Lytechinus pictus: one gene and its partner. The protein of the gene in region 1 binds, or shares a complex with, the protein of each later gene. Links are inferred from orthologs where the notes say so. Each region holds a gene or a part of one and is shown on either strand. Other genes may lie near its edges.

Evidence for each region.
Region 2: pre-mRNA-processing factor 6-like (region 1) and U6 snRNA-associated Sm-like protein LSm6 share a complex: the UniProt entries of both Homo sapiens proteins name them as parts of the U4/U6-U5 tri-snRNP complex. The link is inferred for Lytechinus pictus from reciprocal best matches to the Homo sapiens genes PRPF6 and LSM6.

The regions. Positions count from the first base shown.
Region 1 is NC_087245.1:8,319,579-8,327,837, reverse strand, and holds the start of pre-mRNA-processing factor 6-like, read right to left. Parts: upstream 3,349-8,259; 5' UTR 3,284-3,348; coding exon 3,192-3,283; exon of another isoform or gene 3,186-3,191; intron 1-3,185. Other genes in the region: MICOS complex subunit MIC27-like, read left to right, coding at 3,502-3,513, 7,959-8,201. UniProt on the Homo sapiens protein: Involved in pre-mRNA splicing as component of the U4/U6-U5 tri-snRNP complex, one of the building blocks of the spliceosome.
Region 2 is NC_087249.1:11,245,445-11,253,717, forward strand, and holds the start of U6 snRNA-associated Sm-like protein LSm6, read right to left. Parts: upstream 3,603-8,273; 5' UTR 3,524-3,602; intron 1,749-3,523; 5' UTR 1,665-1,748; coding exon 1,556-1,664; intron 736-1,555; coding exon 622-735; intron 1-621. Other genes in the region: uncharacterized protein LOC129260504, read left to right, coding at 5,729-6,026, 6,694-7,008, 8,200-8,273. UniProt on the Homo sapiens protein: Plays a role in pre-mRNA splicing as component of the U4/U6-U5 tri-snRNP complex that is involved in spliceosome assembly, and as component of the precatalytic spliceosome (spliceosome B complex).

The DNA of each region.
Region 1 (8,259 bases):
CAATGAAGAGACAGGACGTCTGGAGTATGGTAGTGGATCGTATTACCGAACACTTTTCATGAATTCAGTCATATCAAACACATTATTCTCTTAAAATTCATAAATCTTTCACCAAAAATACATAATTACCTACAAAATATAAATATGTAAAAATTTTGCTGAAATCGTTTTTTTATTTTACGGTATTAGCTTCCAATCGGACCCCTCTTCGCATGAAATATTTTGGTCACTTGAAAAAGGTATGGTATTACCGAACGTGTGTTTTCTATGGGAAAAATTGAGAACCCAACAAAATCACTAATGGGCTATTTTGACCATATTTTATTATTTTTAGAATATTAAGATTTTTTGAAAATGTGCTTTTGACCATTTTTCATCATCTTTCTATTCAAGTTCTCTTTGGAAGGATGTTGCAAAGTTTAGAGCATATGAAATTATTTTCTGACGCGTACGCTGCGCGTGTGCGGTAATACAAGGCCGGTAGGTAATACAATCACTCACTATCGAACGAGGGACAGGATCCGGGTAATCTGGGGCCCGTTTCTCAACACCGTCATAAGTCTAACTTCTTGACTAAATCGGAGATAGTGAGCTACTTGTCCGCTAACCATTTCACAAAGCCCTCTTTACCAAGATCGGGTACAACAACCTCACTAAATATTTATGACACATCCGAACCTGTCATAACTTCTTTCTCGATGACGTAGTGGCATCACGTGGGTAGACTATGACATGCAAAAGTGCCTAGAAATTTTAAATTATAATCTTACGTAATCGATCATAGAGGTTGAAAAGGACATCACAAAACAAGTGGGATATGCATTCAATGATAATTGTAATACAAAGAAACTATAAAAACTGTTGGTAAAACGCCACAAAACCATTCATTTTGAAATAGTAAAATGATTTAATCGATAAAGATTCGATAAAGATTCTAGCACGTCAGGCCATCCATAACTGAACTTGTATTTGTTGTTTTCAGACCCCTATTAACAGTTGGATAAATTCTATCTCTAATTTATGCATATAATTTGTCAAATATCGTATGTTTCGGTATCAATGATTAAAAATGTTTTGTTATTCTATATTTTGATGATGTTTGGAATCGTAAGAGACCGTATAATTATAATCATTTTACAAAAAAACCCATCATGGTTTACTTTCGTAAACTATTGAAATTGGATATCCCGGGGGTACCCATCTCAACGTCCAGAAGTGATTTTTTAGTCATGAAATTAATTATTCATAATTTAATTTTCTCTGCAATTGAATGCTCTAGTCTTCATGGTCTAAGTATGTATGATGCATAATTCACCTGTGCTATTATTTTGAAAAGATTTATTTCCCAATTCATCACAATATTTGCAATTTTGTCATAATTTTTCTTTTTGAAAATTATGATATTTTGTGACTAAGGCTACGTCTAGTTTTCTCTTTTTATCGATAGTATCGATATCAAGGTATTCTAGTTAGGAAGCCTTTTGAGAAACAGGTTTAGTAAGAGTGGTTGGTGGATAAAGATATGACAAACTTGTCCAGGTGTTGAGAAACTGGCCCCAGGGGCCCGTTTCTCAACACCGTCATAAGTCTAACTTCTTGACTAAATCGGAGATAGTGAGCTACTTGTCCGCTAACCGTTTCACGAAGCCCTCTTTACCAAGATCGGGTACAACAACCTCACTAAATATTTATGACACCTCCGAACCTGTCATAACTTCTTTCTTAATGACGTATGGCATCACGTGGGTAGACTATGACATGCAAAAGTGCCTAGAAATTTTGCAATTATAATCTTACGTAATCAATCATATAGGTTGAAATTACATCACAAAACAAGTGGGTTAATGCATTCAATGATAATTGTAATACAATGAAACTATAAAAACTGTTGGTAAGACGCCACAAAACCATTCATTTTGAAATAGTAAAATGATTTAATCGATAAATATTCTACCACGTCAGGCCATCCATAACTGAACTCATATTTGTTGTTTTCAGACCCCTTTCAGACAGTTGGATAAATTCTATCTCTAATTCATGCATTCAATTTGTCAAATATCGTATGTTTCGGTATCCGCAATGATTAAAAATGTTTCATTGAACTACATTTTGATGACGTTTGGAATCGTAAAAGACCGTATAATTATCATCATTTTACAAAGAAAACCGTTATGGTTTACTTTTGTAAACTATCAAAATTGGATATCCCGGGGATACCCATCTCAACGTCCATAAGTGACTTTTTAGTCATGAAATGAATGATTCATAATTTAATTTTCTCTGTAATTGAATGATCCAGTCTTCATGGTCTAAGTATGTACGATGCATAATTCACCTGTGCTATTATTTTGAAAAGATTTATTTCCCAATTTATCACAATATTTGCAATTTTGTCATAATTTTTCTTTTTGAAAATTATGCTATTTTGTGACTAAGGCTACGTCTCGTCTGCTGTTTTTACCGATAGTATCGATATCAAGGTATTCTAGTTAGGAAGCCTTTCGAGAAACAGGTTTAGTAAGATTGGAACTAACTCCGCGGTTGGTGGATAAAGATATGACTAACTTGTCCATGTGTTGAGAAACGGGCCCCTGTAAGATACGATCATGTAAGTTAGGATAATAACAATAAGAATAAATTTAATATTCAATAAATCACCTAAATGACCTAGACTTCTAACTTAGATCTAAAAAATATAAGAAAAGTGGGAGAGTAAAGATTTAGGAAAAGAAAAAAGCCAAGGATAGAGAGGAAGGAAAAAAGAAACGAAAACTTTTTGTTTCTTGTTTTTTATCTTCATAATCTTGGAGTTGGAAAAGAAAGAAGGAAAAAAAGTAATGAACTGGCGGTAGAATATGACTGGCCGCCATTAACTATTTTATACCCAACAAACAACAACGTATCAGTATCACCTCACAAGTCTGACTGAGTCTGAGCCCGAGGTTGCGCTGAGCTGACGAAACCGAAACGGTTATCGGCGCGGCCGAGGCGAAGTTCAGATCATGGCCAGCCGGCCAAGCGGGGCCCGGGGCAGGCAAGGCTAGGTTGAGGCTCAGGTTACGGTGGCGGTACAGACAGTCAGTGCTATTACTATACATGCTATAATATGTCCAGATACCGAACTGAAAAATGTACGGTACACTGGCGCTTGTTGACTAGTCTAAAAAGGAACAATACATTTATCTACATACCCTCTACCCAATCCAGGAACATAGCCCAATGGAGCGGGCATGTTCATGAATTCCCGACGTTTCTTGTTGACGAGTGCACCGGGCGCTGCCATCTTGAACAGATATCGACTCGATTTTAAACCGGTACGGTACTTGATGACACGTACGGTACCGCCCGGATATGGAGCCCGTATATCGGTTCACGTATCCGGTTCGGTTAGTTATAGTCCACGAATTGTTTCTGAGACGAGACTGAGTCGTCAGTCGAAGATAAATCAAATTCTCTACTTGATCTAGTACTAAAGGCCCAGGGTAAAGTGTGAATTCAGCAATGTCTAGACAGGTATAGTAATACCATATTTACACAAAATTTATGATGGCGTTTATTTCTGAATACTGAGCGAAATATGCAGAGTTCTAACGTTACAATACAGTTAGGTCCTACACAAAAACAGTTTCTTCAACGAGTGGGACTGAGCTGAGCAGTGAGTGAGACTGTAAAAATATGTATGAAATAGGGGGGGGGGGGCATGTTTGACGTCTGCCTACGCTACGAATTGTTTCTGAGAGTGGTCTGAGCTAGCTGAGTTGAAGTTAAATCAAATTCTCTACGAGATCTAACGTGTTGGATCTACTAAGTCTAAAGGCCTAACCCAGCCCCAGGGAGCTCCCGCCCGCTCAGCGGGCGCCCGCTGCGCGGGCGGGAGTTCCCTGGGTTACTAAAGAGTAAAGGCCCACTCACACGTATTGCGAGGTTAGTACTAGTACTAGTATTACTAATACTACTACTAGGGACTAGGGTGTCTGAAGCCACACTAAAAAGTGTCAGCATAAAACAGGCTGATTTAGGGGAAAAAATTGCACATTTTTTCGGGAAGTTCAGGGGCCCGTTTCTCAACACCGTCATAAGTCTAACTTCTTGACTAAATCGGAGTTAGTGAGCTACTTGTCCGCTAACCGTTTCACGAAGCCCTCTTTACCAAGATCGGGTACAACAACCTCACTAAATATTTATGACACCTCCGAAGCTGTCATAACTTCTTTCTTAATGACGTAGTGGCATCACGTGGGTAGACTATGACATGCAAAATTGCCTAGATATTTGAAAATAATGATCTTACGTAATCAATCATAGAGGTTGAAATTACATCACAAAACAAGTGGGATAATGCATTAAATAATTCTAATACAAAGAAACTATGAAAACTGTTAGTAAAACGCCACAAAACCATTCAGTTTGAAATAGTGAAATGATTTAATCGATAAAGATTCTACCACGTCAGGCGCCATCCATAACTGGACTCGTATTTGTCGTTTTCAGACCCCTATTAACATTTGGATAAATTCTATCTCTAATTTATGCATAGAATTTCTCAAATTGCATGTTTCGGTATCAAATATTAAAAAAAAAATATTAAACTATAGTTTGATGATGTATGGAACCGTAGAAGGGCGTATAATTATCATCATTTTACAACGAAAAACGTTATGGTTTACTTTCGTAAACTATTAAAATTAGATGTCCCGGGGGTACCCATCTCAACGTCCACATGTGATTTTCTAGTCATGAAATGAATTATTAATAATTTAATTTTCTCAGCAACTGAATGCTCCAATCTTCATGTTCTAAGTATGTATGATCCATAATTTACATGTGCTGTTATTTTGAAAAGATGTATTTCCCAATTCATCACAATATTTGCAATTTTGTCATAATTTTTCTTTTTGAAAATTAGGCTATTTTGTGACTAAGGCTACGTCTCGTCTGCTCATTTTACCGATAGTATCGATATCAAGGTATTTTAGTTAGGAAGCCTTTCGTGAAACGGGTTTAGTAAGATTGGAACTAACTCCATGGTTGGTGGATAAAGATATGACTAACTTGTCCAGGTGTTGAGAAACGGGCCCCAGGCTGCTAGAAAAATGTGATCTGAATTGATTATTAACTTGTGTTTGGCATGTATGTATGGAAAGAGAAAATTCAGGGGCTTCTTTTGACAGTAAGGACAAGTTTATATGATCATTTTAAATAAGGATTTAGAGATAAATTGCAAACCCTTATTTGTGTGTGTGTTGAGATTGCCATTTCCCCATGCGTTTTCTATGGGAAAATGAAATGTCTGTTTTGCACAATTTTTTTCACTTTGTCACAATTTTTCATTGTGATCTGGTTTCCAAATCTTTATAAAAATCATACCATCAGAAAGAGCATAAAAAATCCTATTGGACTCTTTATGGACAAGTTTTTGGCATTCATGATAAATTTATAACACTACAGCTCTCGGAAGCTAAAAATTTGGAATTGTGTGTGTCCATTTCTTAACTACCGTACTCAGTCTATGGCAGAGAAATGCTGAAAATTGACCTAATTTCATTCTTCTTTTTTGCAGCCAATAATTTGATTTTTTCAAAAATGTTACATTTCTGTCAGTTTGAAGGTCACTTCTCTTCAAATTCACAAAGAAAATGTGATATTTTCTTGAAATAAGAAAAATAATTTTTTTTCTCCAGACACCCTACTAATACTAGTATACTAACCTCGCACCATGAACCGCGTTTGGCAGTGGATTTCTAACTAGTGGGTCGCGAATGCTGGGATCTCACTTCTGGTGTCCACAACACACGACTTCTATGGCTTGATTTTTCTGTGCGCGGTGGCATGTAATGAACCCTGGCTTGGGTGCTAAGGCCCAGAGCTGCAGAGTAAAGTGTGAATTCAACAATACAGCTGGCAGCCGTCCGTTTCAAGGAGTTTTTTTTTACATTTGTATTTTTTTTAAAATATCTCCTCGTAGTCGTACACAGACGGCTCGCGATCGTGCAGCAGCCATTAAATTAGGGTCGGAGGATAAAAATGCAAAATCCTCCCGACAGGGCTCATTGAGTTTTTTCTTTATTTCATAAAAATATATAATAAGAACGGGACCAAAATAAAGATTATTAATATTATTCTGTTTTGGCCCGAAATGCACCAAAACAGGAAAAAATAAACTTAAAAGGACAAAAACAGTGATTTACGTCGGCTGTCTCGCAACTCCTATTCCTTGGTTTGTCCGAACTTTATACATAAACATATGGTCATTGAGTCCCTGACTCCAGCTCCCTGTACAGATCGAGTTAGAACTTCGGTTCTAACTTCAACTGAGTTAAGCGGAACAACCAATATAACAGAGACCGAAGCTTTTGGTCTAAGCAATGTCTAGACTCTAGAGGTGCACGGCCAATAATGGGAGACTGCTGTTTTGTGACTAAGGCTACGTCTTGTCTGCTCTTTCTATCGATAGTATCGATATCAAGGGATTCTAGTTAGGAAGCCCTTTGTGAAACAGGTTTAGTAAGATTGGAACTAACTCTGTGGTTGGTGGATAAAGATATGATTAACTTTTCCAGGTGTTGAGAAACGGGCCCCAAGTCTCCAATATGGGAGATTGTCTCCCTGATTGGAGAGTCTCCCATATTGGCTGTGCGCCTCTACTGTTTGTACAAAATTTATGAAATATGCAGAGTTCTAACGTTACACTACAAAAACAGTTTCTTTAACGAGTGGGACTGAGTGAGGTATTAACAGAGACTGTATGAAATAGGGGGGGGGGCATGTCTGCCCATATAAAAATGTAACTTAACTAAACATGAATTTATTTTTATTTCACAAAACATTCACAATCTGATTTAAGAAAAGTTAGGCCCTACGTTAGATATAGGCCTAGCTAGATCGATTATTTTCTTGTAAAAAACCTTGCCTCGGGCTGGCCCGTCCAGACAGTATGCCATGGCTGCTCACCCATTTTTTTCTAAACTTTCTTGCTCTCTGAAAGAACTTTGTATCAATGCTTTTAAACTGAACTCAAAATGAAACTGACCAAACTTTACAATACAAGGGCACTGCACAAATTCCACTCAGTCAAAATGAAAAGTATTTTGAGATTTTACACTAGATTCGATGATCTTAATTAAGCACACTATTCAATCACAGAGATACTACACTGTAGTCTCTCTGTGATGGAATCAATCTCTTAATTATTGACATGTTTTTAATTAAGATTATTGACTCTAGTACAGCCCCTCACATCTATTGGTTTCTGAATCGAAAGTCAAAAAGGGAGAAAGAAATCTCGGCACTAGCACATGTCGAATTTAGGGTGTGCTACTCAGTGCATAGTTTTTGTTTTGTTGTTGTTTTTTACTTGCACTTGATTTTCAATTGAACGCAAAATTTCTTGCAATGCTTCTTTAGTCTGGACCACTTTGCAACATCATTCCAAAGAAAAAATTAAATGGAAGATGAAAAAAGGCCCCCCCCCCAAAAAAAAAAAAAAATAATAATAATAATAATAAATTTCAACAAGTTAAAATCTTTTATTTTCTCAAATGATAACAATAATTGATCAGTGACCTTGTTAATTTTTCCCACAGAAAAAGACAAGTTCAGTAAATACAATTCCATTTTCAAGTGATCAATTATTTCTTTTACAAACATTGATGAGATCGTGGGACAAAGAATATTGATAAAACAGTCCCTTGATCACTCATTGCTAATTAAAAACCCATCAAGGATGGACCTGTTTTATGTTGATCTATTAGTCAAAACCAGGATTTTTTAATAAATCATAAATGAATGTAGTTAAAATTCTATATTGTTTTTGTTGTAATGATGTTTAAAGACATTTTGGAGTATTTGTTTTATGTTGTATAGAATCAACACAAACAAGCTGGTTGCATACTGGCATGTAACTTTCATTGTAATCTTCATGACACAAGTATCTTATTTTCATGCTTAAAATTTCACAGGTATTTGTAGCATTGAGGTATGGTTCCATGCCCATACTGGGGCTAGGCCTCCTTCAAGTCAGAGCTGGTGAAAGTCCAGGTGAGGACATGGCCCTAACAACCTTGGTAAAGCCTAAAGATCTTCCAGTATACAGTGAACCCAAGCAGACCGAATACCAGCTGATACCTGAAGGACCTAGTGCTTTGAGGGACATGGTGGGCTCAGTAAGGGAACAGATATGGAGGTTCTCAGACACTTTTCACGTAAGTTAAATCAACCTCCATATCTGTCAGTGATTAATAGCTCTCCACTGAGCTCCTT
Region 2 (8,273 bases), on another chromosome or scaffold:
GTAGCTCATTGTACATTCCTCTATCCATTAATCGGACAAAAAAAAGCTCCCTTTGAAATGTAAAATAAGAGCTTTTTGCCGTGCTCCCCTACCACTCCCCTTAAAGTTTTAGGAGAGCTTTTTATTGCTCCCCTCATAATTATAAAACTGATTCCCTGTTTTATGTGTTTTTTTTCATAGTGGCTATCATGCATTCCCCATTATAATGGTTAAGATGAAATGTAAATTGAAAATTTGACAAGCAAAAAAAAAAGGTCTTCACTTTCAAAAGCGGGTAAAACCAGTATATATTTTACATTAGAAATGTTGATTATGGCTCTCAAAGGGAGGGGGGGGGACAGGCCGGCTGTGCCCCCCCCCCCCCCCCCTTGGATCCACCACTGATTTATCCTTCGGTTGGATATATTTCAGTTTTCACTTGACTTGCAGACCACGGCCCATGCTATTTTATACGTCTACGGAAAAAGTGTGTCGACCAGCAAGCCTCTCATGACAATGAATGCTGGCGGCGCAGCATGCATTATGAAACACTGAATAATGCAAATTGACTAACATGTGAAGAGAAATATTGGATAGCATTAGTCGGTTTGGGGTTAGTTTTAAGGTGTCAATAGAGCATACCATTATTTCCCCTGATGAAAGCGTCACCATATTTGTTCTTGAGCTGACCGTTGACATACTCTTCTGTCTGCTCCAAGGCGATGTTCATGTATCCATCCAAGCAGGCAAGAACTCCTGTAAAAAAAGATGGTAGTAATGATAGTACTTAATGATGATGGTGATGATGACAAAGATGATGATGGTGATGATGATAATGGTGATGATGATGACGATGGTGATGATGACGAAGATGATGATGATGATGATAATAATAGTAATAATAATAATAATAATAATAATAATGATAATAATAATAATAAAAATGACAATAAGAAAAAAAATACTACTAGTACTAGTAAAATGATAATAAAATGAAATAAAATAAATTGAAAAAAAATTGAATAATATAAATTTCATGAGATTACAATTTTTTACATTAGATACAGAAGGATAATATGAAGACTATAAACTTTATAACAAATTTTCTGTTCTGATTATTCTGTGACATCATCTGTGAGCTGATCCATGATATTTGTTGTTTATTCGAAATTTTACATATTGCGTTATTTACAGTTCACAATGAATTAATATGTCTTTTATAGAAGCTTGCATGTAATAGTGTGTCTGGATACAAAGACACAGGATGAACACCAATTTTTTACAATTTCAAAAATATATATGATGATTTTTTATTTTTATGAAGAAATAGAAGCAGGAAGGTGATAAAAAATAAGGAAAAAAATGGGGAAAGTATGAAAAAAGATGGGAAAAATAAACAAGATTAGCAGGAGAATGAATACACATACAAAAGCCATAGATGCAATTGAGGAAGAAAGGGGAAAAGGGAGCATAAAGAAAAAAGGAATAAACACCAGATTTTTTAAATATACTGTATAGACCTAGAAGAAAAAAAGAAGAAAATGAAAGTCCTGAGAGAAGTATGCCCTTTTCTTACCTCTGTAATCTACACCTGAATTTAGTTTGACAACAACTGGTTTGCCGATGATTTGCTTTAAGAAATCACTAGGAGTTTGTTTCCTGGCTGTAGTAGTAGCAGTACTCATGATGCACAGAGCTAGTCGGTCACTACCTGACACAGCTGTTCATCCAAGTTTGAGGATCACCAAATAAAACAGCAACTCTCAGAGCTGGTGACAAAGTAGAAAAATTGACTGGAGTGAGAACAAAATAAAGCTATATAACAATTATAGAAATTATATCTATGCGAGAGTATAAGGCAAACCTATAGAGCCGAATTATATAAACTTCAGACTTTCATTCATTTCAGACTTACATCTTCAACTTGGACTGACTTTTTGACTACCTTTCCTCAGTACACAATTTTCCAAACACTATCTGCAAATCAAGGCAAACACCCATACGTTCATTACATGCCACGATGCACAGGAAAATCAAGGCACGATGCATGCAACTCTCTCTCTTAGCTGATCCCTCCACTTCTTTGGAGATTCCTGGAGTCCAGATGGAACACTTCCATCCATGGGATTGCGCGAAATTTGGTATTTTGACAAAATCTAAAATAAAGTCAAATTGTTCTATTTCACTTACCGAATGATATATATTCTCTTTGGTGACTTTTTTCTAACTTGACTTTGAATAAAGAATATTTTTCCTTGCTGTTGATGTCTGTGCTGTGCCCCTCCTTGAACAGCAATTTTCAACTAAGGAGGGCGTGCAATTTATATTCATATCAAAGACACTACAGGGTAAAGACATTACTTTACACGCAAATTGATGCAAAGCGTTACGCGAAGATGGCAAAGTGTCCAGTCTTTTCATTGTAGACTTTGGTGGACTGTTTGTTGACAAACGAACAACGGCTCGCACTGCTGGTTTTGTTCAAGGCACATAGAATTTTATTTTTTGTTAATTTGTCATTGCTTTGAATGATTTAAAAAAGTGTTATCGTCAGTAATAATAATCTAAAAATATGTTTGGAAGGTAATGCATTTATTGGTGTCCATATTTTATCAAACAATCATAGGAATTGAACTTAGACACAGTTTTAAAACTACCGATGAGTTGAATAAAGGTTATGAAATTTATTAGCGCCATCGGGCTTCCTTTTACTTCCGTGGTTCAATAAACATGCAAAACCACTTTTCAGGCCGAGGTAAGCAATTTTGCTATTTTTCATTGAATTTAAAAGCGTAAAATTTTAATATATTTATAATTTGTACTATAACTACTCACCGGATGTGCCCCGGTGAGCTTGCGAGTAACAAAAATGAGTTTTGGCAAACATTATCACAAGAAATCTAGGAAATTTTTCTGTCAAGTGCCGACGCCAATCAAGTGTGCTAGTCAATGTAAACATATCAGGTTTCATAACAAGATTATTGGAAGACGGCAAGTCGTGAAAAATAGACGGTGGAAAGTACTATGGCAAGATAATTGTCATTTTCAATCTCTATTTTAAGAATCAAATTTACTTTGAGAATATGATGAAATGTAGCTGTATTTACTATTTCAATTTGCCTGTAATGGAAACTGACAGTGTCAAAAAAATCAAGCATTTGTCCCCTCCCCCCCCCCCCAAAAAAAAGAGAAAATAAGAACAAGGTTCATGTATATCATAACCTTGTTCATAGAATGAGTGGGACAATCCCAATCTTTTGAGACAGAGCTTTTAATTGCGGGATCGCGGGACCAGCGCCTCTACTGTTTATCGGTCTACACCAATAGCTATGGCTGGGACCGAAGTAAAAAATGACAAAGTCTGATTTGACTTTCGTCATCATCTTGTCATTGCAAACATAAGTACGTCTTAACGACACCTTAATCATTCTAAAAAAGAGGAAACACAAGTACCGTCAACACAATGGGGTCTTTTACTACCATACCACATATATATAGAAAAATAAACCTTATTTATGGCAAAATCTAATGCTTATATATTCACCCTTCTTATGGAGCTGGAAATGAGCGGCTAGCAATGCAGCGCCGGAAAATATGGTCAAAGTTCTCGCGTGAAGCTAGTGTTAATGGTTAACTGGCAGGGTCAGTACGCAGCTTGCAATTAATTTTCTTTATCTTCTATGTGAAGTAATTTGGGATACAGGGGGTTTGATTCGACTTAGATAATTTCATTATGTTTATATTTATTTCTTCTTTTCAATTTTTTCTAATCTTCTTCGAATTTATAATGAAATTTAATCTAGTTTTAAATAATAATATTCACACAAAGCTGTAGAGCAGACTAAGTTTGGGGGAATTCCCGAGCGATTCCCACCGGCCACAAATAACACACACGAATTGTGACAAAGCCCAGTCAACGCCATATTTTGTGAAGTTCTAAAGCTATAAAGCGGAGAAGCTCATCCCAGCAAACTCTCTTTCCAAGTTCGTAACCAGTGCGATATCTACTATACATCATTCGATCCAGTTCATTTTCGATTTCAAAAGGCATTACATTTACAACCAAGTCCGTAACTATATATATTAATATAACTGTGCATGTGTCTGTGACTGAATTGAGCCGAGGTAACTTATAATTTAAGTTTAGAAATAGAAATTATCCTAGATGCATTTATTCTTAAACCATTAACTTGTTAAAACATGTGTTAGGTAGCAGGTAGACTAACATTAGATCTAACAACATGGATTCGAGTAGTACTAGTAGTAGACAGCTGGCAGCCGTCTGTTTCGAGGAGTTTTTTAACATTTTTTTATTTTTTTAATTTCTCCTCATACACTGACGGCTCGCTATCGTGCAGCCACCATTAGGGGACTTACAATGCAAAATCCCCCCGTCGGGGCTCTTCAATTTTTGTCTTGAATGAATCAAACTTTTGAAAATTAACGCGACCGAAATGCAAATTAATATCCCCTCTTGGCATTAATTGCCAAAAAACGGGGAAAATCAAGTTAAAAGGAACAAAAACAGTGACTTACCTCGGCTGTCGCGCAACTTCACTGCCCTGTTTTATTTAAACTTAATACACATAAACATATGGCCATTGAGTCCCCTGTACAGATCGCGCTAGAACTTCGGTCTCTGTATTTGGTGAGTGAAGCCAACGGAGTTCAGCTGAACAACCAACATAACAGAGACCGAAGCTTTTGGTCTATACTAGTAGGATCAATCCATGATCTAATGTTAGGTCTGACGAGTATAACTGTTATAGGCCATGGTCTTTGATGGTGTTTCTTGGAATTTGGATTATTAAATTTAAGCCCTTGCTCATCTTCTTTTTCAATTTTGGAGTAGATGTGCTACCTTTCCTTTTGTGATGTATCAAGCTAAGTTACATGATACAGTATCATGTAACTTAGCCTTGAGCATCTATGAGTTCTATCAGAACTATATTGATCTCTGTTGACTATTGAATTAGACTAGGCCTATTTAATTCCTATTTGCTTTTAAAGGACCAACCAATTTCTGGTTTTCAAATGGGTCAGTTTCTCCTTGACCTAACTCAGGCAATAGTTCGTATAGGCCCGGGGGGCCAGTCAAATATATTGCTGTACACACGCGTGACCAAAAAAATGCGTTTAAACTTAAAATGGTGTTTTTTCAGTTTTGTACACGGGCTGTGCGTGCACTCGTTAAGGGTATCAAAAACACCGTTTTTCCAAAAAGGGTTGTTTTGAAAAACTGGTCAATGGTCAATCGCTGGGTCAAACATATTTAGGGTATTTTTTTTTCCAAAGCTTTTTTTTAAAGACTAGCCAAACGTGTTTAGGGTATGTTTTTCCCCCCAAGCTCTTACCCTATAGGGCTTTTTCCTCGTTTCTGAAAAGTGTTTTGGTTCTTCCTGATTGTTGGATTTTAACCCTATACCGGGGGGCATGCAATACCCATGAATATAGTTTTGTCTATAGCTTATTTTTAGCAAGTAGATTAAACTTGTTTGGGGATCATATTCGACAACTTGTTTAGAGGCCAAAATGTGTAAAAGAAGCCCGCAAAATCCTTGTTTAGGGGGTTATTTTGCACACAGAGAAAAACATAATTTGACTGGGCCCCCCCCCCCTCCCCCAGGCTCCACTACACTTCACTACCGCTACTCTCAGCTGAAGTGTAGTGGAGCCTATACGAACCATCACCTGAGGTATCCTTGACCTTGGTCTTGTTTCATCCCACTTTCCTTTCTTTAATTTCAGAATGGCTGCTGGGGGCCAACAGATATCATCATTTTTATCTGAGGACGGAAAAATATATGAACTCTCTGAAACTATCAATGCTCCTGAGAACTATGGTGAGCTTGGCCTTGCTTTATTAGAATCCAATGCTGAGGTTGCCAATATTATTGGAAAAACGTCGGTTGACTATAAAAATGTTGTTTTCAAGTGCTTTATTAAATGGAGAGATGCAAATGGATGTGGAGATGGCCAGTGCAGGGAAATGATTATGATTCTAAACAAGTTTGGATTGACAGATGTTGCAACCTGGTTTCAAAAAAGTAAGTTGATACAATTGTTTCCTATGGTGATTAAGTTAATGTTACATAAATTGCAAGAAATGACAAGTGACCCAATTTAAAAAAATGACAATGAAGTCTTGCAACATGATTTTGAATTTTATTAAATAAGACATGGTAGCATAGATGGCGGAGAGGTGCATAAACTTAGCCCCTTAGATTAATAACAATGAAAATAAATGAAAATTGTATCATTTTCTCCACATTAATCTTTTGGTGTGTTAGTTTTTGTGACAAAAATTATCACTTTTTTTGTCACTGAGAACCAAATTGTAATAAAAGAGAAAGGGAGTTTTTTAATCGCTTTATTAATATGGTTGTTTTATTTTTTCCCTTTTTTTATTTATTTATTTATTTGTTTGTTTGTTTATTTATTTAGTTTGGGTTTTTTTTTTTGGGGGGGATTGGTGTACTTTGCCTGAGTAATTTCATCAAAGTTGATAACCACCAACTCTTAACTCATTATTTCAAGCTTGTATTGTACATGCATAAAAAGAACAGCATAATTGTCATTGACTATTAAAAAAAAGAAAATGAATAAATTAATAGATTAAAAAAATAGTAAATGAATATTGATAAAGTAGACTACCTATTGCAGTCTAAATATTCATGATTCTCCTATTTACATAGCATTTATTTTTATTTACAGGACAAGGAGAACAACCAAATTGTTTGGGTAATGATAGATTTTTGCTGGACTTGTCCTCCCAGATTGACTGCCCAAAGTACGCTGATCCACTTGGCCGGAAACTCACAGGAAGCGATGTTGAATATTCCAACTTAGTTGGTGGCAATAAACCACCAAACTACAAAGAAGCTCTCTTTCAGTGCTTTATAAGGTGGAGGAATAGAGAAGGATCAAGCCTCGAATCATCCAAGAAACTTCAGAAAATTCTACGCGAACAGAGATTAAGCATCGCTGTCAAGACGTTGGAAGAATTTGAGCCATCTCTCCCAAAGAATGGTAGGTATGTGTTGTATGTGTGAGGGTGGGTGTGTGTGGGGGTGTGTGTGGTAATACCCCCTCTTTTATTAAAATAATTGAGTTTTATTCTAACATGTAAATGATCATCTATGTCGTGAAGAATGAAAATCTTCAATTCATTGAAATATTAGATCAATAATTGAAAATTCAAAAATTTATACGAGAGTTAGTTGTTTTGGGATTTTTTTCCTTCCAATTCGTGCCTTTTGATAACTGAAAAACCATAATGAGACAGATTATTTTAAAACTTTACTCTTTTTTAGTAAGGAGGTTGATTTTATTAGAAGTAGATGTCAATATAGCCCAAAGGTCATACGGTTACTGTATGTGAAAATTGCAGAAATAGATCATAATTCTTCAATAATACATTAAAGTTTCAATATGAGATAGTGTATATAAATTTATACAGGTTTGGCAGAAAGGGGGGCTTTATATTTTGAATTATTAATCTTTTTATATACCCATCCTAGACGGGAAGTATTATGGTATCATGCTCTTTGTCCGTCTGTCTCTCCATCCGTTCAGGTTTCCTTGTTAACGCGAAAACTTCAGTTTAATTTGGTGTGTATGATACTAGCATGGATCCCAGGAAGCCTATTGATTTTGAGTTCAAAAGGCCAAGGTCACAGTGACATGTTTTCATTGTACCCTTCTGCAGTCCTTGTAAACGCGATATAAGTTTAACTCAACCTAGGCTAATATAATTTGGTGTGTATGATACTAACATAGATCCCAGGAATTCTATTGATTTTGAGGTCAGAAGGTCAAAGGTGAAGTCACCACCTTCCACTTTTCTTGCTTGACCAATAACTCCATTTTCCGCTTTACAGGCAGGCAGATTATGTGCTTGCCTCAGCGACACTCTTGTTGATAAGAGAGTGAACCTATCGATGGAGACCATCAATTAGTCTTATTAGAGACAAAAGCTGTCTTTATACTTGTAAGCAGTTGGTCTTTGTTTAAAGGTTCCTTTCCAGCATGTTTTAATTGGGAATGATATTCAAGGAAGACCCTTTTGCAGTCTTAGGCTACAGGTGGTCAATGTAGCAGGTTTGACTTTAATTTAATTTCTCCCTTGAGACCGAGAGTGATAACTAGTAATGAAAAATGGAATCTCCATATTTAAGAAACAAACAACTTATGATCTTCACAATCATTATTATTTTTCAGTTAAGGATCCAATCATCACACAATGTTCAGAAGAAACAGGGGAGCCAGAAGCAGGAGTCCATACCAAAGGCCAC